Linked DNA regions of Lytechinus pictus. The protein of the gene in region 3 purifies or fractionates together with the protein of the main gene of each other region. This does not show direct contact. Links are inferred from orthologs where the notes say so. Each region holds a gene or a part of one and is shown on either strand. Other genes may lie near its edges.

Region 1 (7,796 bases), on a different chromosome or scaffold from region 3:
ATTTTACAACCAAATTATGCCGATATTATCCGCATAATTGGGTTTGTGAAAGGGGTATCAGGTCATCAATTAGATAATGGAGAATAAATCTGGGCAAGATTTTAGCTAATAAAAAGATTGTAAGTTATCATTTCAGTCATCGTCAATATTCTAACTTGAAAGCTCCACTCCAGCTTTCACAAACAAAGGCAATGCCAGTCAACATTCTCGCCAGTGTAGAAAACACGCGTTGCATGTGACACGCGTGCATTCCACAAGCTCTTCATTCATCACATGAAAAGCGCGAGCGACACCGGGAAAAAAATCATACAAAAAGTGGGGAACAATTATCGGAAATAATTGTTGCATCATTCATCATCAATCCTCAAAGGTACAGGATGTTTCAGAATCATTTCAGCAAATTACGATCTTATCATTGATAACCGGATGATGTCCATGCATAGACACTGGCGCATTTCCACTTCCCGCCAGCCAGCCATGCTAGATTTGCCAGCGTGCCGGCGCAGCTAGCTAGGGCTAGCAGAGCCGGACATGCTTGTTTGGAACCGGATTTTCCGTGGTGCGACGTAGCCCTTTAGTTTTACATGATACCGTATTCTGATAGTTTTCAAGAAATTGTGATTTTGAAATGAATTGTTCCACATAATTTTCTCCGCTAATTACTTGCTAATTAATACTCTTATCGTTCTTTCTCTATTTCTCATGTCATTCTGCTGTCATCATGGTCATGTCACAACTTAAAGTGATGGCGGTACATAGGGCGAAACGTGTGTGCATGATTTTATGAAAGGAGAAAAGCGAGATGTAAAGTAAAGATACTATACTACAATGCAAGGGGAAGATCGGACAGTACAGACCGCCCCATGAAATGCTCGGGAAGAGCGCCCCACAGTAACGTATGCTTATTTCATCTAACTTACACGTACCGCCAAAAAACCTCTAACTTTCGCCCCCAAGATTTCTACTTTCTTTCTAAAAGATCTAGCCCTAAATCATGTACATGAGATACAACTACATTTCCGACATTTCTACGTTAGTGATTTCATTTTTAAACAAGAATTCATTCAAAAAACGAGAAAAATTTTATGAAAAGGGGAAAAACTTGCCACCGGCACCATGTTTATCTTGATTAGGGTGTCTGGAGAAAAATATTATTTTTCTTATTTCAAGAAAATATCACATTTTCTTTGTGAATTTGAAGAGAAATGACCTTCAGACTGACAGAAATGTAACATTTTTTAACAAAATCCGATTATTGGCTGCAAAAAAGAAGAATGAAATTAGGTCAATTTTCAGCATTTCTCTGCCATAGACTGTGTAGTGAAGAAATGGACACACACAAATCCAAATTTTTAGCTTCCGAGAGCTGTTATAAATTTATTATTAATGCCAAAAACTTGTCCATAAAGAGTCGAATAGGATTTTTAATGCTCTTTCTGATGGTATGATTTTTATAAAGATTTGGAAACCAGATCACAATGAAAAATTGCGACAAAGTGAAAAAAATTGTGCAAAACAGAAATTTCATTTTCCCATAGAAAACGCATGGGGAAATGGCAATCTCAACACACACAAAAATAAGGGTTTGCAATTTATCTCTAAATCCTTATTTAAAATGATCATATAAACTTGTCCTTACTGTCAAAAGAAGCCCCTGAATTTTCTCTTTCCATACATGCCAAACACAAGTTAATAATCAATTCAGATCACATTTTTCTAGTAGCCTGAACTTCCCAAAAAAATGTGCCATATTTTCCTCTAAATCAGCCTCTCTAGTCTCTTATGCTGACACTTTTCAGTGTGGCTTCAGACACCCTATCTTGATTTCATTGTCTTTCGCTTGGCGACAGTACGCAAATCGTACTGTCACCAAGTGAAAGACAATGTATTGGTGAGTGGAGCCAACAGAGTTCAGCGGAACAACCAAATACAAAGACTGAAGCTTTAGGTCTACCGTTGTTGTTGTTGTTGTTCGTTGTGGGTCGTTTCCACACCCCAATAATAGGGTGTCTGAAGCCACACTGAAAAGTGTCAGCCTAAAACAGGCTAATTTAGGGGAAAATATGGCACATTTTTTCGGGGAAGTTCAGGCTACTAGAAAAATGTGATCTGAATTGATTATTAACTTGTGTTTGGCATGTATGGAAAGAGAAAATTCAGGAGCTTCTTCTGACAGTAAGGACAAGTTTATATGATCATTTTAAATAAGGATTTAGAGATAAATTGCAAACCCTTATTTTTGTGTGTGTTGAAATTGCCATTTCTCCATGCGTTTTCTATGGGAAAATGAAATTTCTGTTTTGCACAATTTTTTTCACTTTGTCGCAATTTTTCATTGTGATCTGGTTTCCAAATCTTTATAAAAATCATACCATCAGATAGAGCATAAAAAATCCTATTGGACTCTTTATGGACAAGTTTTTGGCATTAATAATAAATTTATAACAGCTCTCGGAAGCTAAAAATTTGGATTTGTGTGTGTCCATTTCTTAACTACACAGTCTATGGCAGAGAAATGCTGAAAATTTACCCAATTTCATTCTTCTTTTTTGCAGCCAATAATTGGATTTTTTTCAAAAATGTTACATTTCTGTCAGTCTGAAGGTCATTTCTCTTCAAATTCACAAAGAAAATGTGATATTTTCTTGAAATAAGAAAAATAATTTTTTTCTCCAGACACCCTACCAATAAATGATCTCCTCGGTATGAGTCTCAGTGAGCTGTAATTTTTTGATATTCTGACCTCACATTTTGAAAATCTATAAGCACTGTAATCAAGAATTATAGGATGGGTATCTATCTCAACATTTTCTCAGTCTACCATTTTACAGCAATATCAAGAATTCATAGACACGTACGGTATTAACAGACGTCATTGTCGGTTAGTGGGACCGTGATGAAAAACTGAAAATGTTTTTCGTGCGTTATTTCAAAGAATTCTATATAAATACACCTGTCTGTTCTAACCAAATCACACACAGGACAATTAAATAAATGAAACTTGAATTTCATAAAAACTGTACTCACTTCGTTTGTCACGTCTTGATTTCGGCATCTTCTTGTCTTTGAATTCACACTTTCCTGCACACACGTGAGTTTGGGGTATTTAAGGTAGGCACTTATGATCCAAGTTTGAAAGGAGACTCGTAAAATGACGTCAGTCTCGCCGATGAATATTCATTAGATCGTGGTCGTGTGTGTTCAATACACACTGCGTGCAGGCATGCAGATAGTTATATGCGAGGAACTTTGGCTCCAGAGACAAGTTGTCAAATAACGTGTGTGTGTGTGCGTGTGTGTACCATCGGCTGGTAGTATGCCATGCTGTCTAAGACTTCAAACGCGTCGGAGAGTGCATGGCAATTCGGTAAAACGAAGTTTCCGATATAAGGAGATAATAAAATAACACTATGTACAGTACGCCCGGGGGGCCACTTATATTGACGAGTGGATACCATGCGCGACCAAAAAAACACGTAAAAAGGATGTCTTTTTCAAGAGAGGGCACGTTACGTACGTAACGTGATAAGGGTGTCAAAAACACAAAAATATTGAAAAAAGGGTATCTATTTCCAGTACGTTGAGAGGCAAATGTCAGATCAGGGGAGGCAGGAGTACAATCAGGTTTTTTTAAAGGGAAGAATAGTGTAGAATAAAAGGTATTATATATAGCCAAATGATCTAGGTGAGGGAAGTGAACAATGATGTTTTTAAAAAAAAGAATGAATATACCTTACCTGAATATTATGGCGAAGCCAATTTAAAAGGAGGTGAGCTCAAGTTTCAATGGAGGTTTTAAAAAAGAATAGACTGTATTATGGTGAAGCCAATTTAAAAGGAGGTGAGGCAAGTTTTAATGGAGGTTTTTAAAAAGAATAAACTGTATTATGGTGAAGCCAATTTAAAAGGAGGTGAGGCAAGTTTCAATGGAGGTTTTTAAAAAGAATAAACTGTACTACAAATTATGGTGAAGCCAATTTAAAAGGAGGTGAGGCAAGTTTCAATTGAGGCTTTTAAAAAGAATAAACTGTACTACAAATTTAAAAGGAGGCGAGGCAAGTTTCAATGGAGGTTTTTAAAAAAGAATAAACTGTACTACAATATGGTGAAGCCAATTTAAAAGGAGGTGAGGCAAGTTTTAATGGAGGTTAATTTTTAAAAAGAATAAACTGTATTATGGTGAAGCCAATTTAAAAGGAGGTGAGGCAAGTTTCAATTAATTGAGGTTTTTAAAAAGAATAAACTGTACTACAAATTTAAAAGGAGGCGATCGAGGCAAGTTTCAATGGAGGTTTTTAAAAAAGAATATAAATTATGGTGAAGCCAATTCAAAAGGAGGTGAGGCAAGTTTCAATGGAGGTTTTAAAAAAAGAATAAACTGTACTACAAATTATGGTGAAGCCGATTTAAAAGGAGGTGAGGCAAGTTTCAATGGAGGTTTTTAAAAAAGAATAAACTGTACTACAAATTATGGTGAAGCCAATTCAAAAGGAGGTGAGGCAAGTTTCAATGGAGGTTTAAAAAAATAAACTGTATTATGGTGAAGCCAATTTAAAAGGAGGTGAGGCAAGTTTCAATTGAGGTTTTTTAAAAGAATAAACTGTACTACAAATTTGAAAGGAGGTGAGGCAAGATTCAATGGAGGTTTTTAAAAAGAATAAACTGTATTACAAGTTATGCTGGTGAAGCCAATTTAAAAGGAGGTGAGGCAAACCTCAATGGAGGTTTTTGAAAAGAATAAACTGTATTATGGTGAAGCCAATTTAAAAGGAGGTGAGGCAAGTTTCAATGGAGGTTTAAAAAAAAAAAAACTGTACTACAAATTTAAAAGGAGGTGAGGCAAGTTTCAATGGAGGTTTATAAATAGAATAAACTGTACTACAAATTATGGTGAAGCCAATTTTAAAGGAGGTGAGGCAAGTTTCAATGGAGGTTTTTAAAAAGAATAAACTGTATTACAAGTTATGGTGAAGGCAATTTAAAAGGAGGCGAGGCAAGTCCGTTTTTAAAAAGAATAAACTACTACAAATTATGGTGAAGCCAATTTAAAAGGAGGTGAGGCAAGTTTTAATGGAGATTTTTAAAAAGAATAAACTGTACTACAAATTTGAAAGGAGGTGAGGCAAGTTTCAATTGAGGTTTTTAAAAAGAATAAACTGTACTACAAATTTGAAAGGAGGTGAGGCAAGTTTCAATGGAGGTTTTTAAAAAGAATAAACTGTACTACAAATTATGGTGAAGCCAATTTAAAAGGAGGTGAGGCAAGCCTCAATGGAGGTTTTAAAAAAAGATTTAACTGTACTACAAATTATGGTGAAGCCAATTTAAAAGGAGGTGAGGCAAGCCTCAATGGAGGTTTTTAAAAAGAATAAACTGTACTACAAATTATGGTGAAGCCAATTTAAAAGGAGGTGAGGCAAGCCTCAATGGAGGTTTTAAAAAAAGATTTAACTGTACTACAAATTATGGTGAAGCCAATTTAAAAGGAGGTGAGGCAAGCCTCAATGGAGGTTTTTAAAAAGAATAAACTGTATTATGGTGAAGCCAATTTAAAAGGAGGTGAGGCAAGTTTCAATGGAGGTTTTAAAAAATAAACTGTATTATGGTGAAGCCAATTTAAAAGGAGGTGAGGCAAGTTTCAATGGAGGTTTTAAAAAATAAACTGTATTATGGTGAAGCCGATTTAAAAGGAGGTGAGGCAAGTTTCAATGGAGGTTTTAAAAAAAGAATTAACTGTACTACAAATTATGGTGAAGCCAATTTAAAAGGAGGTGAGGCAAGCCTCAATGGAGGTTTTTTAAAAGAATAAACTGTATATGGTGAAGCCAATTTAAAAGGAGATGAGGCAAGTTTCAATGGAGGTTTTTAAAAAGAATAAACTGTATTATGGTGAAGCCAGTTTAAAAGGAGGTGAGGCAAGTTTCAATGGAGGTTTTTAAAAAGAATAAACTGTACTACAAATTTGAAAGGAGGTGAGGCAAGTTTTAATGGAGGTTTTTAAAAAGAATAAACTGTATTATGGTGAAGCCAATTTAAAAGGAGGTGAGGCAAGTTTCAATGGAGGTTTTTAAAAAGAATAAACTGTATATGGTGAAGCCAATTTAAAAGGAGGTGAGGCAAGTTTCAATGGAGGTTTTTAAAAAGAATAAACTGTATTATGGTGAAGCCAGTTTAAAAGGAGGTGAGGCAAGTTTCAATGGAGGTTTTTAAAAAGAATAAACTGTATTACAAATTATGGTGAAGCCAATTTAAAAGGAGGTGAGGCAATTAGTTAATGGAGGTTTATAAAAAGAATAAACTGTATTACAAGTTATGGTGAAGGCAATTTGAGAGGAGGTGAGGCATGTCTACAATGATTTTTTTTTAAAGAATGATAAGTGTAGAATATAATTCAAATGATGAAGCCATCTTGAGAGGTGCATGAGGCAAGTCTACAATGAGGTTTCTAAAAACAATGAATAGTGAAGAAAAAGATCGCAATTGCTTTTAATAATCCACAAAATTGTGTAGTCATTTATTTCATGCAAATTGCTATTAATTGATTATGCTCATTTGTGCATAATTAGTATACTATACGTACCTATTCCTCTAACTCCCTAAATAAAGCTCCAAATGTTCTAATTTTTGGTTTAGAAACTCTTTGTGGTGTTCTTCGATAATGTATTTCTTGTGTTTTTACCTTTGTATTGCATTGTTTTTTTTTCAACGATGCTCGGACTCTCGTAACAGCATAAAATAAATCAGTTTAGTTCAACAAAACTAAAAACAATTAGGCATTCATGAATTTTGGTTGAAAACGCATATTCCATTGACGTGGTACACAAATATCACAATTTTGAGCCATTTTTGTCTGATATGCACTTACAAATTGTTTGGTAATTTTCAGAACCCAGTACCCGGGCTTCGCAAAACTGGTCTCAAAACATGCAAAAGACTTTTTTTTTTAAATCGCAGAGCTCAGAGCCCCCCCCCCCCCCTGCGTAATAGGTTAAGTTTGCATTAATTTTGAACTTTTCCATTCCCAAATACGTAATATCCCCTCCCCAAAAATGCAATTGTCACTGAAATGGAATATACATAATATATTTTTTAATAAGCCATATTTGCAAAATAATCATCATGTCATCCTTTGTCAACAAGAAATCTGTACATGTCCTCTGGAAGAAAATAATACCTCGGCCGCCTATTAAATTCTAAGTTTTGATTTTGTAAGTATTTTACTTAGCAATTTGGCTGGCTTATCAAAATGCTTAAACTTGTATGCAGATCAGATCTCAGAATTTACCTTATCCAAATTGAACTAAATACTAATACCCATTGTGATGTTATAAATTTTGAGCCAAATAGTGCCAAATGTGTGAATGTATTTCTGTGCGTATCATTTTTGTATATGTAGACTTAAGTCTAGTAGATGGCTGACTTACATTTAAGCAAAATATTTAGCAAAAAAAAAATGAATTGAATACCAAAGATGGATAAGTATTTTACTTTTGCAAAATACTGAGTAAAATATACTTGAAATTGTGGCTTTAAGAGTAGCATTGAATACCGGCCCTGTTCCTCATCATCATTATCATCCCACTACCACACCAGTTTCTGCAGCACAAACTTTAACTTTCATAGGTTGAGTCCATTTCAAAGCCAACACTCTCACTTTAACTTTCTTTTTTCTCTTATAACATGACGTCCACACACTGCCAATCACATCCTTACAACACCAACTGTCAGAGGACAACAGAACTGCAGTTACCATAGCATTACCCCCAAAACACCACTCAATTTTGAATTGATCCAAA
Region 2 (8,349 bases), on a different chromosome or scaffold from region 3:
CCCATTTTGCACGCATTTATCAACTTTCTACAGTTCAAATTGCAAGCCAGTTCGTCATGCTCCCTTTTTGGTGATCTACACACAAACACACACACAAAGTTGGCCTACCGCTATAGCATTAAGTAGCTTTTATCCAGCCGGCCGCGCTGGCCGGCTGGCGTGAGCTTTGCATGCTTGAAGCAGCTGTGCGTTAGCAGCCTATTCAGACTCAGGGAGCTGCAATACGAAATGTTGCTGCCAAGAAATCTTCCACAGAACTGTGAAAATCCAAGTCAAAGTCACATTTTACACCAATAAAATGCCCTTCTACAGACCTTTTTGCTAAAATCTGGTGTATCCTGATTATTTGCAAGCATTAAAAAGAGGAATCGTGACCTCTCTTTTGACTAAAAAAGAAAATAATACACATAAAAACACATAGGTGAGTACATCACAGTCCCACGTGTGCATTTGTATGAATGTTGTTACTTGGTTTCTTTCGAAGCTGTGTCTTTTCCGGTCTTTTCTAGCCAAAAATAAACAGACAGTTACTTTCTTTCTTGTTCATAAGTGACTTCTTAAACAACTCTTGAGAAAGTAAATACTTTGGGAAGGCATTTCATTAATATGAAATGTGAATTTTTCCAACATTTTGGCAAATAGAGGGAAGGAATTTTCTCACACTTTTTTTGCCGTTTTATTACTTTCTTTTAAGCTTGTAACCGATTTTGCAATCGGCAACCGATTCCATTCGATTTCACCACAATCGGCAATCACTTGCCGATCTTCGATCATGCCCCTTGAAGGAAAAAATCGAAAATAAAAAATCGGCGTAGATCTGGTTACAGTGCGTGATCGCTCAGAACATATTTCAAGATTGTTTTTGAGGTGCTAGCTATTTAGAGGTCGCATTATTCAGGGAGAAAGTCGCGGTATTATCTATGGCGATGTTTAAGGGGATAGATATCTTCTCTTCCAACTCATGGTGATAGCGGATGCCGCCGTGAACTTTGAAAGGTCGTATTACCGACGGAGCTCACTGCGTTACTCTCTTACATCGTTTATGATTATATACATTTTATTTTCAACCTCGTGGTGATAGCGGATGCCGTCGTGAACTTTGAAAGGTCGTATTACCGACGGAGCTCACTGCGCTACTCTCTTACCCCCTTTATAATGATATAAATCTTCTCTTCAACCTCATGGTGATAGCGGACCCCGCCATAAACTTTTAAAGACTGTACTATTGACGGAGCTTATTGCGTTGCTCTCTTACATCGTTTATGATGATATTCATTTTATTTTCAACCTCGTGGTGATAACGGATGCCGCCGTGAACTTTAAAAGGTCGTATTACCGACGGAGCTCACTGCGCTACTCTCTTACCCCCTTTATGATGATAGACATCTTCTCTTCAACCTCGTGGTGATAGCGGACCCCGCCGTGAACTTCAAATTTGAAAACGCTAGCTACCCAAAACATTTTAATAACATATTTCAAATCATTGTGCGTGCTTGCGTCTTCTACTTCATTTTAATTGCACTTGCGACTTTAAGATGATGCGTCGTAAGAGATCATTCCAATAATTCTAAATCGCTAGCACCTAAAAATACTTCTAAAAGATGTCCCGCCGATCGTTCATTAACCTGTGATCTATGAGAAATATTTTCATTTTATTTTCCTTTGCGCCTTTGCTCGGAAGATGCGTCTTACGTTTATCTTTCTAATAAAAATCACTCGGTTTATTTTAAAGCAATAACACCTCAAAACCCCTGGCTTTAAAACATGTTCCAAACGATCGCGCATGTTGGCGACTTCCATTCGTCTTTGTGACTTTGTCAGGAAGATGCGCGCGACCGCGAACAACATTTTGATGTATTCCTTTGTTTTTAAACATCGCCGATTCGATTTCGATTTTAGAAGCTTAACTGCCGATCCGATTTTCGATCTGATTTTTGATCCGATTTACAACATTACTTTCTTTCCTTTTTTTTTTTACTGTGGTTAAACCATTTATACCCATTTATTCATTTTTAATGTTTTTCTTTAATTTTTTCGGGCCACCAAACTTTAATATCGGGCCACCAAAAAAAAATATTTGAAGGTTTTGGTGGCCCGAATGGGCCACCACCAAAAAAAGTTAATGTGGAGCCTTGCGTTATCACTATCGATACTTTCGCACGCAGTCTGAATTATTTTGGCGACCATATAGTCATGACGTGATCTGCGCGATTGGCCAATCAGCGGTCTCCGATTCGCTGAGCCGAGACGGTCTATCCGTTGTACACAGTCTATGGACAATTTGCCACTGTGCAGTGACCTCAATTCCCCCTAGACCAGTTCACCGTCTATTTTTCATGACTTACCGTCTTCCAATAGTCTTGTTATGAAACCTGATATGTTTACATTGACTAGCACACTTGATTGGTGTCGGTACTTGACAGGTGAATGAACTTTCCTAGATTTCTTGTGTGAAGAAATCCTTATAAACTGAGACAGTCCCTGTCTGGGACGATCCCAATTTTCTGACCAGCGCCTCTACTAATTGTCATAGAGAACAAAATAGAAGATGATTACAGTGTAGGCCTAATCCAAAGACAAAAAAGAAGGCTTCAAAAGTATTAAGTGTCCGGACACCCGACCCCCATCCTATACTTTATACAGTCTATGGCTATGCATGGACAATTTGCCACTGAGCTTTGCAAAAAATTGCGCAGTGCAGTGTCAACACCATGTAACGTTAGATCTAGGGCCTACATGACATTGTTTCCAATACGTGGGATAACACATAATTTCCACTACGAAAGTTCACTTTTAAAAGTGGCTGATTTTCATATCGTTCGCAAATCACATATCATCGAAATTTTATCATATTGAATGAATATTATCGTTCTTACCATTTTGAGGAACCTTTGCTGATAAAATCAACTCAACAGTCAAAAATTAGAAAGGAATCGTGAAGCTCCTCACAACATGAAACCCACATGCACAGTTACAGCAGCTTAACTCAGCAGAGACACGCGTCGCAGAAGGGTCAACGAACTATCGCTCGCGAGCGCTAGCTCGATCTGCTGGCTGGCCGGATCAACGACCCCGTGGATGGGGGGGGGGGGGGGGGTATTAAGTGTTTTTTCGTATGGGGTGTGCAGCTGAAACCCATATATGGGTATACATTTAGGCAGAAAAAAGGTACTCATTATCAAGGAGTTTCAGTTTCTCCCCAAGAGATTAATGTTTAAAGGGGAATCCTTCCCAAATACATAGACGAAAAAGAAAAATCACACAACTTCATGATTTTCTCCTGTCCCACAAATGTCATAAGACCAATGATGGATTCCCCTTTAAGGATTTCCTCTCATTTGACAATACCAGTAATAATAATAAAGTCATATCACTCAATGTCCCAAAGGGGGTTGCTATTGGGAGGATTTTTCAGCCAACTTTAAGGACTTTTCACAAAAAAGTGACCTATAAAGAGTGTCACATCCCCACATCCCTGTACGTCAGTAGATACCCCCCTGCATTGTTGGGGTGTTTTATAAAGTTGTTTGTAATTAAGAGCAATTTCAAGAATGACTGTTGAACCTTTCTTATACTCAATCACCAATGAACATTTGAGAATATCATTTACCACAAGATCACCAGTCGTTCTTAAATTCACTCTTCACTTACAAATAGCCTTATGAAATGCCCCCCCCCCCCTGAACTTGCATCGTTTCCCAATTAAGGCCCTGCCTTCCAATGTTCTCAATCAATAGAGTCAATACATTGATTTGGATGGAAAATAGCCACATGAAAAATAGTCTCAGATACTAGTAATCCCTCCCATCTCATTGTCTCCGGGTTTGTCATATGCAGCCCAGCAAAAGATTGTTTGTAATCCGATTCAATGGAACAGACAGAATAATTAGCTGAACATAAAGTATTTCAATTGCTTTTCAGAGTCTGCATGGTTAGTGTCATCAAATAACGCACTAAAGACAAATCGTAAGCAATATTTTTTTTAGTTAAAGAAAAAAAATAAGGAAAATAGAATGTTTGAAATTTGTAGGAAAAAAATGGTGACAAATAAGTTAAAGATAACAGCGAAATTGAGATCACCAAGTCTAGAAAGTCTCAAATTGACAATTTGGTCCGTCGATCAATGTGGAGACTACTTTTCCTTTCATTGGATCATCTTGTACTTAGTCATAAAAAATTGTTTTTTCTCTTCTAGCCATCCACTGGAGCGATAATCAAATTTAACATAGAAATTGTATTAAGCTAATACTCAAAAAGGAAAAATTTTAGTGAAAGTTAAAAAAAAAAAGACATTTGTGTCATTTTGTATATTGAAGCAAACCTGCAAAGAATCAGTTCTTACCATACATCACATTAATGACATATCTTTGCAGCCACTTTTAAACCCCAAAAGTAAAGTGACAACAATTTTCACAACTGCTAAAAACTTTCTTATCGTTTTTCCAATTTTGGGAAAAACTTTCACCCATCTGCTTCTCTGTTTACCTAAAAAAAAAAACTTTCTATATGGGTTGGATTATACCCTATTTTCCACAGCTGTCCCCTTTCATTCACACATAAAAACACAAGACTGTCCTGGCTGATAACCAGATTTTCCTCCATTTTGGTTGGGATTTTTTTGTCATTTTAATCATGCAGTTACACCACAAAAAATGTGAACCTTTATAATTATCCATTTCATACATATATATTTTTATCACTTTCATATACTCAATTTACTTGATTATTCATTTACCAATTCAAATGATTACATTCATCATTAGAACAAAACAGAAATGCCAGACAGGACAGATGTTTCCATAATTCAGAACTCTCAGGTTTATATTTGCTTTTTGCAAGATCAGAAATACAAAACTGTTCCTGTATTTACAAGTATGTACAGAAGACCAACAAAATATAGCAATTAACAAACTTTTTGTTTACAGCAGTTTACCACTCATTACAAATAAAATTGCACCAAAAGGCAGATATACTTAACAAAATGTACAGCATGAATGATGGGAGTTGTATGATATGTCATCAACAAAATAAATACCAAGATTATATCACCATATGTCTATATCTTGGGAGAAGGGAGGCACTAAAATTAGATTTACCATAATAAATAAACAAATCACAATCATGTGATGAAAATGTCAATAAAGAGGAAAAAAGCAGACATAATCATTGAGTGAATTCTGGAGGAAAGAATTCCTAAAATAACTGTGAATTCATAATGTGCAATTTATATATGGATATACTACAACTGGTTAGTCACTGGTCAAAAAAAGATCTTTATTTCTAGAATATAATTCCTCAAAAGACAATCTTTATACATTTAATTGAGTAGCAGGTATACATGGCAGGAATTACAAATTAGATTAAATGCAAACCACCATGATTTTTGCACACATCATCAATATCTAATCTTATCATATCACAATTCTATCTAAAAAAATATTAATCAACTGCCTTCATGTTATCAGAAAAAGAACATGTAAGATGAATAATAAAAATACAAAAATTATGAAATAAGCATTCACTCAAAGTCAAATACCTAAATCATGGGAATAAATTAAGTTTCACTCCAAAATAGCTGTAATCACTCACTCTAATTCAATACTATTTTGGCAAGCTTGGGTAATTTCTTTAGAGCAAAAAACAAACAAACATACAAAACTTAGAAAACAGGATTACATTTCTCACATATCTATACAAATCACACATATTTCAGCAATGTATATAGTAAAATAAGCCCATCTTCTATTTTCATTTAAAGGACAAGTCCACCCCCAACAAACAGTTGATATGACTAAAAAGAGAAAAATCCAACAAGCATAACACTGAAAATTTCTTCGAAATTGGATATAAAATAAGAAAGTTATGACATTTTAAAGTTTCGCTTAATTTCATAAAACAGTTACAGGCACATCCTGACCGGTATGCAAATGAGGAGGCAGATGACGTCATCCACTCACTATTTCTTTTGTATTTTATTATATGGAATATGAAATATTCTATTTTCTCCTCATTATCAAGTGAAACAATGATTAATTCCTCCCTGAATATGTGGAATTGGCATTGTTTTATACTATATGGTTCAGTCAAGTTGGTCCTTACTGTCAAATCTGTAAAAATTTAAATATTGTATAATTCAAACGATAAAAAACAAAAGAAATAGTGAGTGAGGGACATCATCGACTGTCTCATTTGCATGTCACTGAATTGTGCATATTACTGTTTGTGAAAAATATGCGAAACTTTAAAATGTCATAACTTCCTTATTTTACATCAGATTTTGATGAAATTTTCAGCGTTATGCTAGTTTGATTTTTCTTATTCAAATTAATATTTTTCTGGGGTGGACTTGCCATTTAATTCAAAACGAGTATACAAAATACTTTTCACAGCAGTGGCATTAATTCTCAAAAACTTGCCATAAGTCTGTATACAACCCAGAGAAATAAGTTTAATTCTAGAGCACATGTTCGAATAGGACATTTAGGAAGTAAGACCTAGTATGCAGTGTGTATTGTGACACTTGTAGAGAAAACAGCTCTGTAAATGAACCAACTGACACAATTACAAGAGGACCTACTGTACAGTGTCGCCAAATAATTATCGGCCAAAAATCAAAGGAGAGGGATGATGTCATTCAAACCAGTTTTGAATGTGGCAGTCTAAGGGGAAATACAGATGTCAAAATAAAATATGGCATCATGATAAAGCATAATTCAGTTAAATTTCTTTCTTGACAAAACAGGGATTTTCTCATTTAAATATTGTATGCAATTTTGATAACAATTCAAAGTTCAAGAACAAAGCATAGGTCTTGTATTTAAGAAGTAACAGGGCCACATGAAAGGGGGTAGTTTGAATAATGACTAAAAAATGAGTTGTTAATATGGGATACTGTTTAAAAACATATAAAAAAACCATATCAGCCCACAGCAAACAAAAATTGTAGATTTGAAAGAAAAGAGAAAAGAAAACACATGCACATTTACAGAAGGAATTGTGTTTTGTCACAATTATAAGAATCAAGTACAGGTCCCAAATAAGCGCTTCTGAAAATCAAGTTGTGTTTCTGAAGTTGCAAAATTAAAATTTCTGTAGAGCAATATTTTTCCTTTTCTGTTCATGGCAAATACATTTGTATTTGTCTCAATAGCAATTTTCTGAGATTCTTTGCAACGTACAAGAACTATTTTTGTTTTGTTGTTGTTTATCAAGCAAGGGGGCCAATTGCCTTGTATCACATATTCTTCCTTGCCCCAAACATTGCCAGGCTCTCACTGGATTTTCATTTTATTAGACTTCTGTTTCATCATCCACATTCTCCTCTTCCTCTTCACCACTTTCTTCTTCATCCTCCTCCTCATCTTCTTCATCGTTGCTTGGCTCATCATCATTACTTGCTTTCAGGTGAAATAACTTCATGAGAGTGGCAAATCTCTCTTTAACCTTCAAAATAAAAATGAAAAAATATCAAACCATCCTGCATTAGTTATACATCATCACCACCACCACCATCATAATCATCATAATCATGATCACCATCACCATCATCAACATCATAATCATCATCAACATCATCATCATCATCATCATCATCATCATTATCATCATCATCATCATCATCATCATCATCATCATCATCATTCATCATCATCATCATCATCATCACATTTTCTATGAATACTATCCCATATGATATCATAATTGATATTAAAAATAATACTTTTAATGATACAACTGAAAATTCAGCTATAATTATCAACAATGCAGATGGACTTTCACAAATAAAACTCTACAATGGCTTACATATGTCTATACAAACTGAACAAAACTCAATAGAAAAGATTTGGAAATTACATGATACCCTGGCTTGTACATACCTGTTGTGGTGTTTTATCATTCAAATGAGAAGCTACTTTGATGAAAGTTTCTTCACTAGCTCCTTCCTCCTGACAGGCCTGAAGTAACACTCTGTCTGCATCTCTGTGAATGAAGAGATAAGTTTAAAAATAACAATGTTTTTCAACTTTAATCAAGGTCACAGAAGTTAATATTGGTATATGAATGCAGCTTGGAGTGGCAATCAAGTAAAATGAATGAATAATAAAATGAATCAATATAGGGATGGATGACTAAATCCTCCTGCAGACCTTCAAACTTTTCTCATAAGGAAATAGATATTACTTTACTCAGAAAAGGAAAGGAATAGCATTTCCCTTATTAGAAAAAGTAGTCAAATAATCATTAAGCAAAATTGGAAAATCAAGAGCTATATCAAATACGAAAAGTGTATTATCAGAAATTGACCCAGAACAGTAAAAATGTCAGATTCTTTCTTTAAATTAAGAATGG
Region 3 (8,402 bases):
ATACGGCGGCTCAGCTACAGACGGGTAATAATATACCAAGTATCAAGCGCAGTAGTATATATGCAATTATATTTGCTACGCTATATAAATGGAACATATTAATTATTATTATTATTATCTTTCACCCAGCCAGCGACAAGGGAGACAAGATCTTTTCCTAACCTAGTAGTACTAACAGCATTGCCATAGACATGATTGAATAAACTGACTGAATTCTATACAAGTTACCTTTGACCTGCTTAAACAACAATCTAAATAACTCTTACAATCTGGTTTCAAAACATACTATGCATAAATGTAATGTAAGTTTCAATCTATGTTATAGTAGATGTAGTAATCAAAGGTTGAATTGGGTTTTGTCTCCATGGACAAGGGTGGTGTGATTTACCTCACACTAGAAGAAACTGCCCAATTACTTTTTTCTTCTGCTATGCATAAATGTAATTTTCAGCCCCCCCCCCCCATAGTTATAAAATACATATGAACACACCTTATTCATGAAGCTTGACTTGCCTACGTTTGGAAAACCACAAAGTAGGAGTGTGCGTGTGTTTGGATCTATAGAGGGCAGCCTTGACAAATGCTGCCTGACCTGCTCCAGGTACTCCAGACTCTGTCCTTGTCTCTTCATGATGGTGCACATTCTTCCCATCCCAGCTCTTTTCAACTGCTTGCATCGGTACAAGGAATCACCGTACTTCATCAATCTGCAATAATCTCTAGCAACACTGGAGAAAAGCACATGGCAGTGTGAAACAAAATACAGTAGTGTGAATCATAAATCATTTTGAAAAGAAAAAATAATAGCAAATTCAACAGGGCTAATAATTAGGAAAAATCATTTATGATGACTATAATAAATCAGTCACACAATCTTTTTAATGATATCTTTATGATAGCATTCAGAGCAGAAATTCAGGTCTTTTCAGATTCCAGAATAGATTTGTTCATTTCTATGGAAGAAAAAAATAAATACAAACTGTTCCTTGTATTACTAGAAATCCATATGGTATTACTGAAATGTGATTGGCTTGAGATAGCACAGCAAATAATTTTGGCAAGATTCAGTCAACTCTATATTAGTTCTCTTTGATTATTTCATACGACGTATAATATGAAAGATTCTCAGTATGATAAGCTCTCCCAACCATTGTGCAAATTGTTATATATAGCCATGACCATTGGATATAGCAACTATTTTTGCATGGCCTTTTGTGTATAAATTTCCATAGGCCAAGATGCACAAGAAGTAAGGCATTTAAGTGCTACCTGCATTGGATATTTTGACTGTGCTTCATGTTTGTGATAGATGTCCAATCTAAACAGGTTACTAGGTTCCGTTAATTTGTATCCATTATACAGTGTGTATCAAAAACACACTTTGAAAAATTCCTGGGAATTAAAAAATATACAACATGTGGGTAATTTTTCACATATAATCTTGGGTTTGGGTCTCATCTATCCAATAAAAGTTAAAGTTTTTATAGAATGTTACACTTGAGTGAGCACTGTCCATTTTTGTAAAGCTCTCAGAAATCTGTTTGCGCAGAAATGCTTGTTTTCACGCTGTGTCAAGGGGAAAGGGCGAAATCAAACTTACCCTGCGAAACATTTCTCATACAATTCCCTTGCACTTTTAGTCAATTGAAATAAAACAGATACATTCAAGCATTTTGTAACAACTTTGCCACCGAAATTGAAATTTCAATACTTAGTAAGCACAACCTTTACCCTTTTTGTGCCAGCTGGATCTGAGGACATAACTGAATCAGAGCAAAAGTTTATATCAGACATCTCCAGCATTTTACCACGAAGTTTTTATCATTTAAAGTGGGTTTACATTTCATTTTTTTATTTAATACGTGTTTCTCCACACTTTTCCCAAGCTTGACAATGATTAACAAAATGAAAATCATGCCTAAACCATTTTATGTAAATCACAGCTCAGTGTAAAGCAAATATTGTCACGATGGCCTCGGTGTGTTGGGGAGTGGGGTGGGGCGCAATGCACTCTTCGAAGTGTTTTGGGCAAGGAAACAAGTTTAAAAAGGTAAAAGATATCTTCAAATCAATTTTACTAGCTAAATTCCACGTGTTCTTCATTATTAAGGTTACTTTTATTCGCATAACTATTTCAAAGTTCTGCGCAAATCATTTTTCACTAACTTTTCAAAAGTAAGTGGTGCTCACTCAAGCGGAAATATTTTTCTACAGTTATATCGTCATTTGCTTAAATGGATCTGTACTAATGTTAGAATGTGAACATATCTTCAGGATATTACAAATGTATAATTTTACACGGTTTTTTCTAAGTGTAAACTTTTTTTGATACACACTGTATAGTGCATGCTTACCATGAATTATACCTCATCTCAGGCTAAGGTCTTGGTAACATACAAAATCCACTTTAAAAAATTATAAATCTGTAATTTACCATTTTGCAATACATATACAGAATATCAAATTCACTACAATGTTTAGTACATTACACATGTTTACTATAAAGAATCAACTTGAGTACTTACTTGTCAATGAGATGCAGGGCTGTGTTAATCTGACCCAAGGCAAGCTTGTAATGATCTTTGTCATAGAGAACATTCATCAGATCAGCATAGAATGGATGGACATCCTGTGTGGGGTGGAGGTGTATAGATACTTAATATGGACCTGTTTTCATTAGAGGTACAATTGATTCAATCATACTAAAAAAAAGGAAACCTACAACACCATCACCATCATCATACATTTTAGTTCAAAGTGCTACATCTAAATATGACTATCACTACTGCATACTATGGCAATTCAACTTCCTTTTGTTTATATATAGTAAATATATAAGATATCAATAGACAAGTCCGTATCAAATTAAAGTAACAGTGTATATCATAACACTTAAATACATTTCTCCCACTCACTTCTAACTTGGGAAAATCCTGGATAATCTGTTGAAGTTTGTCATGGTAACTCTGCTGTGTAAACTTGATTTTTCTCATGTAAAATTGTCGTATCCTGCTGATCTTATAATGCTTGTGGACAACTGTTGGAGTCTTCCGTTGGGTCTTTGATAGCACAATATCAATAAAGTCCTAAAATGCAAAATAAAAAAAAGATTTCATCAAAGATCAAAATGTTTAATACACATTTTCTGCTTTTACATACCATGAGCTTGAATTCAATGATATAAAATATGCACATATATCTATACAAAAATAGACTACATGTACTATGTTCAGTCCTCAAGAGCTACAGTTATTAATAAAAAAAAATAACTACAATTTTAGATAGCAGAAATTGCATTATGTGAAAGTGTTACAGTGCAGTGGTTCTGTTTGATTTGATTTTATTTCATTTTATTTTATTCACCAATATAAAAATAAAAAATAAAGATTTCTGAAGATGTAAAATTAGATTGCAAGTTTCTTGCAAATACCTCTCTCTTGACCGATCGATCGAGAGAGATAAAAAATAAATAAAAGCCTAGCTAAGCACTAGTAACACGAGCTGTTTATGTTTAGTTCATGGGCGCCCTCGTGCACGTTTGTATTAGTTTACAAAGAATTGAAAGAAATACAAAAACAGAAGGAAATAATATGGAGATATACAAGAAGAAAAAATTGACTGTATCATTATCCTGGTATTTATTTCAATTTTGATTACTTTATAGACGAGGTCCCATAGAATTGAATATTGTAAAATGATTGTTGTGAGTCGCCGTGTCGACCGACCTGGACTGAAAAACAACATTGCTGGTCTTTGCTGGGCAGCCTGGGCTAGCTAGCGCGCGCTGAGGCTCCAATAAGAGGAGTTAATTGCGTAATGCTTTCAATTTCGAGATCAGAACGGACCCATTTCGTGGTACAAAGTCACCCCAAAAAACATTTTCTCTCCGGAATAAAAGGCGAATTTGCAAATTGTAAGTAAATTCACTCTAAGCTAGGTTAGTAGTTGGCATATATTTTCCTGATTTGAGCCTGTATAGTGTGGGGATTGCATAAATAATATAACTACAATTTTAGATAGCAGAAATTGCATTATGTGAAAGTGTTACAGTGCAGTGGTTCTGTTTGATTTGATTTTATTTCATTTGATTTTATTCACCAATATAAAAATAATATAAAATTACAATAACCCGCACCCGTTGCGGTACGGGTTAACCTGCCGGTATGCCCCCGGTCGCGGGTTGGGCCGAGTTCATTCTCAAACCCGCAGACCATCATACGAAAAAAAGGGAGAAGTAACGACGCATAATAAAAACATTAACAATGAAAATTGAGTTAGGATCATGTGCTTCTTACGTGGCGGATTCTTTTAGAGACGTAGATATTTCCTTTAAAAAAATGCCGGCATATTTTTGTCTTGTGAACAGTGAACAGGACTGAGACAGTTCGACATAATACATCGAGTTGCTCTTTCAAAGGAGCGCCAGTGCAGCGCAGTCAGAGAAAGGAATGTTTTACGACTGGGAGAGGGGGAGAGAGAGAGAGAGAGAGGGGAGGGGATGTGTTCGGAGAATGTAAACAGATGCCAGAATACATTGCGTAATCATGTCTGGCAAGGAGCGAGTAATAGGCCACGTGGCAGAGAAAGGGATGCTTTATGACTTGGAGTGGGGCGAGTCAAGCCTGTTTCCACGGCAACGCTCGCTGTTTGAGCTCGAGGGATTTGCGGTGAACGGCAGTGAGACAGTTGTTTCAACCGTTTCATTTTTCAAAGATAAATTGACTGGCGGGTTAAAACCCGACGGGTCAGCGGATCCCGTTTGCAAATTATTGGATTATACGGGACGATACGGTTCGGGTTTTCACTTGCGGGTTACAACATTAATAATACATGTATAATACATAACAACTGCATCGCGCGATTCAATATACATGTAGCAGCAGTGCTGACTTTGAAAACTACCCGTACTATAAAATAATTATTCACAAAAAACACCATTCATATAATGATACAATACTACGTTCATTGACAATAAATTACATTTGACCTTGATCATGCTACCTTAGACTTGTCAGTAATACTTGATTACCCCTATAAAGGCTATATCCACATTTTATAAACTATATCTTGAAAGTTATGATAATAATCTAATAATTACCTCCAGAATGGCCAAAGCTCATTGACCATAAATGACCTTTGACTTTGGTCATGTGACCTGTAACTCACATGAGATGTTCAGTGATATTTGATTACTCTATGTCCAAGTTTTATGAACTAGATCCATACACTTTTGGAGTTATGATGGTTATTCAACAATTACCCCCCAACATGGCAACAGTTCATTGACCTTTGACCTTAGTCATGTGACCTATAACTTGCACAATATGTTCAGTATACAAATAATGAATGTTTATGAGTTCAATGGATAGAATACTTCATGAGGTGAAAGATGAAAGAGTTGAATGGATCATTCATTTCATCTTTCACTGAATGAAGTATTCTGTCCATTGCACGAATGAAGGAACATTCATTATTTGGTTTATATGACACTTAAAACTAGATTATTTTCATAGGAAATTTATCAATTTCAATGCAAAATATGATCATGCAGTATGAGCTCGGTCTGTTGATTGTCGATTATGTTGAGTACAATGCGTGCGTGCAATGGACAAAATCGTATGGATCCTAAATTGCACGGTCGATGACATCATTGTAAAATGGTCCGAATGATCGATATCAAACAACCAATCAAATGCTTAGGATCTATCTAGGTGTCATAACGAAACTTGATTACTTTCATGTCCAAGTTTTATAAATCAGATCCATAAACTTTCAAAGTTCATGATGGTAATTCAACAAATACCACCAACATGGCCAAAGTTCATTGACCTTTGTCATGTGACCTGAAACTCGCACAGGATATTCAGTGATACTTGATTACTCTTATGTCCAAGAGGCTGTTCTCACTACGTTCCTAAAACTAGTTTACTGGAAACTAGTTTAGTGGAAACTAGTTTAACGCGTAGTGAGAACGGTCGAAGCGGTCTTGGAAGCGATTTTCCAAACCAGTTTGGAAAACCACCTCGCGATGTAGTTTTCAAGATCGCTTTGCCTCGTTAAACTGGTTTTAGCGTAAGTGAGGACACAACCGTTCTTCGGGAAGCGATCTTTGCACATTTTGAGCGCGCTACTCCACACGACAGGTGTAGAATGCCTATGCTGCGGTTTCGAATTTCGCGCGAAACGTGTCACCCCACTGAGAGCATTTCCACAGCAACAAGAGCGCTTTACATGAAGTGATTTTGAAAACCACTTTCGTGTGATCAAGTGGGAACGCTAGCAAAGCGATCTTCCAAAGTGGTTTCCTGAATCGGTTTCCAGTAAACTAGTTTTAGAAAGCGTAATGAGAACGGCCTCCAAGTAATATGAATCAGATCCATAAACTTTCAAAGTTATGATGGTAATTCAACAAATACCCCAAACTTGGTCAAAGTTCATCGACCCTAAATGACCTTTGACCTTGGTCATCTGAAGGAGCGAGGGGTTGACCCCATGTAACACCAACCCCCCCCCCCCCCGCCTTGTGTACGCTACTGGTTGGACGATATATATATGTGTGGATTAATTAAAAATTTACATTTAATTTTCATTTCATTTATTTATTTCAAATTCTCATTAAAAACATACAACACAACATATAATTCAAATTGAAAGAATACATGCACAGTATAAAAATACACAAAAATGGAAATTATAAATAACAAGAGAGAGAAAGAAAACCGACCCCAAAAATGAAAAGAACGGTATAGGAACAAAAGGACAAAACAAGAAAAGAAGAATAAATAAAAGCAAAAAAGCAAAAACAAATAAATAGAAAAGGGGAAAAAAAAGAACAAACCAGAAAATAAAATTGAACAGAAAAAAAATGAGGGAGAAAATAAAACAAAAAAATAAGAAAATAATTAACATGAAAATAAGCTCTTTTCTTGAAAAAAAAAACCCATAGGGTTAGGGAAAAAGCAGAGGCATTTAATTTCGTGACTGGTCGCCAGCCAAACCAATCCAAGAACCTGGCAAAATTTACGCCACTAGACTCATGAATTATCACAAGATCCTTTCTACTCGACGCCTCAGACGATAGCCTTTGTCAAGGCCTTCAGTTGTATTTTCTCCATAGGATCTTTAGTGAAATAGGGGGTCTGATAATAATACGAACATAGTCAAATCACATAATCATTTAATATTTTACTTGATTTTCTTTTAATCAAATTATTATTTTACCTGTCATTTTTGTTTTCTGCCTGTATGGTGATAAAAATCGATTTATCTCGTGTGCCTTCTCACAAGGCTTTACCAATTCTCCATTGCTTCCTGCACGACCGACTTTTGATGCACACCGGGTGATTTGCCCTAGTTTTGGGGCATCATTTCCAAGTTTTGAGGGCCGTGAGAGTTGCACATAAATTTGTGAGTATGTAGTTTTCCATTCTTACATTTTATTAAATTTCATCCTTCCTGCTGTGATTCCCAATGCTTCTTGGATTTTCATCTGGTGAGTTCGAGTACAACTCTGCGCAGCCCGAACACAGCGTAGACTACCTCAGGCAATGGTTTGTATAGGCTACACTACACTTCACTACCGCTACTCTCCGCTCCACCTACATGTATCCGAACCATCGGGTGACAAACATGACAATCGCTCTCACACCAAAAAACAAAGACAAACTGTGGCACTTTATGTATAGAAAGCCAGCACATGAAGACCTAAACATTCAACTGACTACTGTTACTAAACTTACCACCAGACACACTCTCTCCAAGTTGCCCTTTCTTCAAAACGTCTAAAAACCGGTGATTTGAAGCCGAATCGCGGTACCCTACACGTATTACATTCTCTGCCGAATCGAAAATGGCTCATTGCTCATGCAATGTTTTGAAATCGGCAGTGAATTATTTATATGTGAGAGGAACTCGATGTTGGCTCTAAATCACTAATTTTGAGGCTAACCGGAGGATGGATAATATGGACTGAAATTAAAATGAAAAGTAAGAAATCAAGCTTCTTATTCTTTTCAAGCTAGTTTCGGCGCGGCGCAGGGTTTTTACAATAAGTATGCTTTTTTTTTTTGCATGTTCGGGTAGGTGTCGCGTAGTGTAGCGGTAGTGAAGTGGAGCCTGCACAAAAAATCCATTCTTGAGGTAACCTAGGCCCCAATGACCATGTTCGGGCTGCCGCAGTAACCAGCTGCAGCTGTCTAGTAAAGTAGTATAGTGAGTGATTGTATTACCGACCGGCCTTGTATTACCGAACGTGCGCATCATACGCATCAGAAAATAATTCCAAATGCTCAAAATTCTGCAACATCCTTTCAAAGAGAACTTAAAGGTCAAGTCCACCTCAGAAAAATGTTGATTTGAATCAATAGGGAAAAATCAGACAAGCACAATGCTGAAAATTTCAT

The links.
Region 1: the proteins of GTP-binding protein 4-like (region 3) and mRNA turnover protein 4 homolog purify together in Homo sapiens (affinity purification with mass spectrometry; 3 studies listed by BioGRID and IntAct, counting the BioPlex papers as one, with this or other methods). This does not show direct contact. The link is inferred for Lytechinus pictus from reciprocal best matches to the Homo sapiens genes GTPBP4 and MRTO4.
Region 2: the proteins of GTP-binding protein 4-like (region 3) and ribosome biogenesis protein NSA2 homolog purify together in Homo sapiens (affinity purification with mass spectrometry; 3 studies listed by BioGRID and IntAct, counting the BioPlex papers as one, with this or other methods). This does not show direct contact. The link is inferred for Lytechinus pictus from reciprocal best matches to the Homo sapiens genes GTPBP4 and NSA2.

What each region holds. Positions count from the first base shown.
Region 1 is NC_087245.1:41,221,093-41,228,888, reverse strand, and holds the start of mRNA turnover protein 4 homolog, read right to left. Parts: upstream 3,137-7,796; 5' UTR 3,056-3,136; coding exon 3,028-3,055; intron 1-3,027. UniProt on the Homo sapiens protein: Component of the ribosome assembly machinery. Nuclear paralog of the ribosomal protein P0, it binds pre-60S subunits at an early stage of assembly in the nucleolus, and is replaced by P0 in cytoplasmic pre-60S subunits and mature 80S ribosomes.
Region 2 is NC_087249.1:25,097,478-25,105,826, forward strand, and holds the start of ribosome biogenesis protein NSA2 homolog, read right to left. Parts: upstream 3,050-8,349; 5' UTR 2,880-3,049; coding exon 2,877-2,879; intron 1-2,876. Other genes in the region: GON-4-like protein, read right to left, coding at 7,291-7,443, 7,878-7,980. UniProt on the Homo sapiens protein: Involved in the biogenesis of the 60S ribosomal subunit. May play a part in the quality control of pre-60S particles.
Region 3 is NC_087247.1:48,314,140-48,322,541, forward strand, and holds the start of GTP-binding protein 4-like, read right to left. Parts: upstream 3,094-8,402; 5' UTR 2,994-3,093; coding exon 2,916-2,993; intron 2,630-2,915; coding exon 2,526-2,629; intron 729-2,525; coding exon 491-728; intron 1-490. UniProt on the Homo sapiens protein: Involved in the biogenesis of the 60S ribosomal subunit. Acts as a TP53 repressor, preventing TP53 stabilization and cell cycle arrest.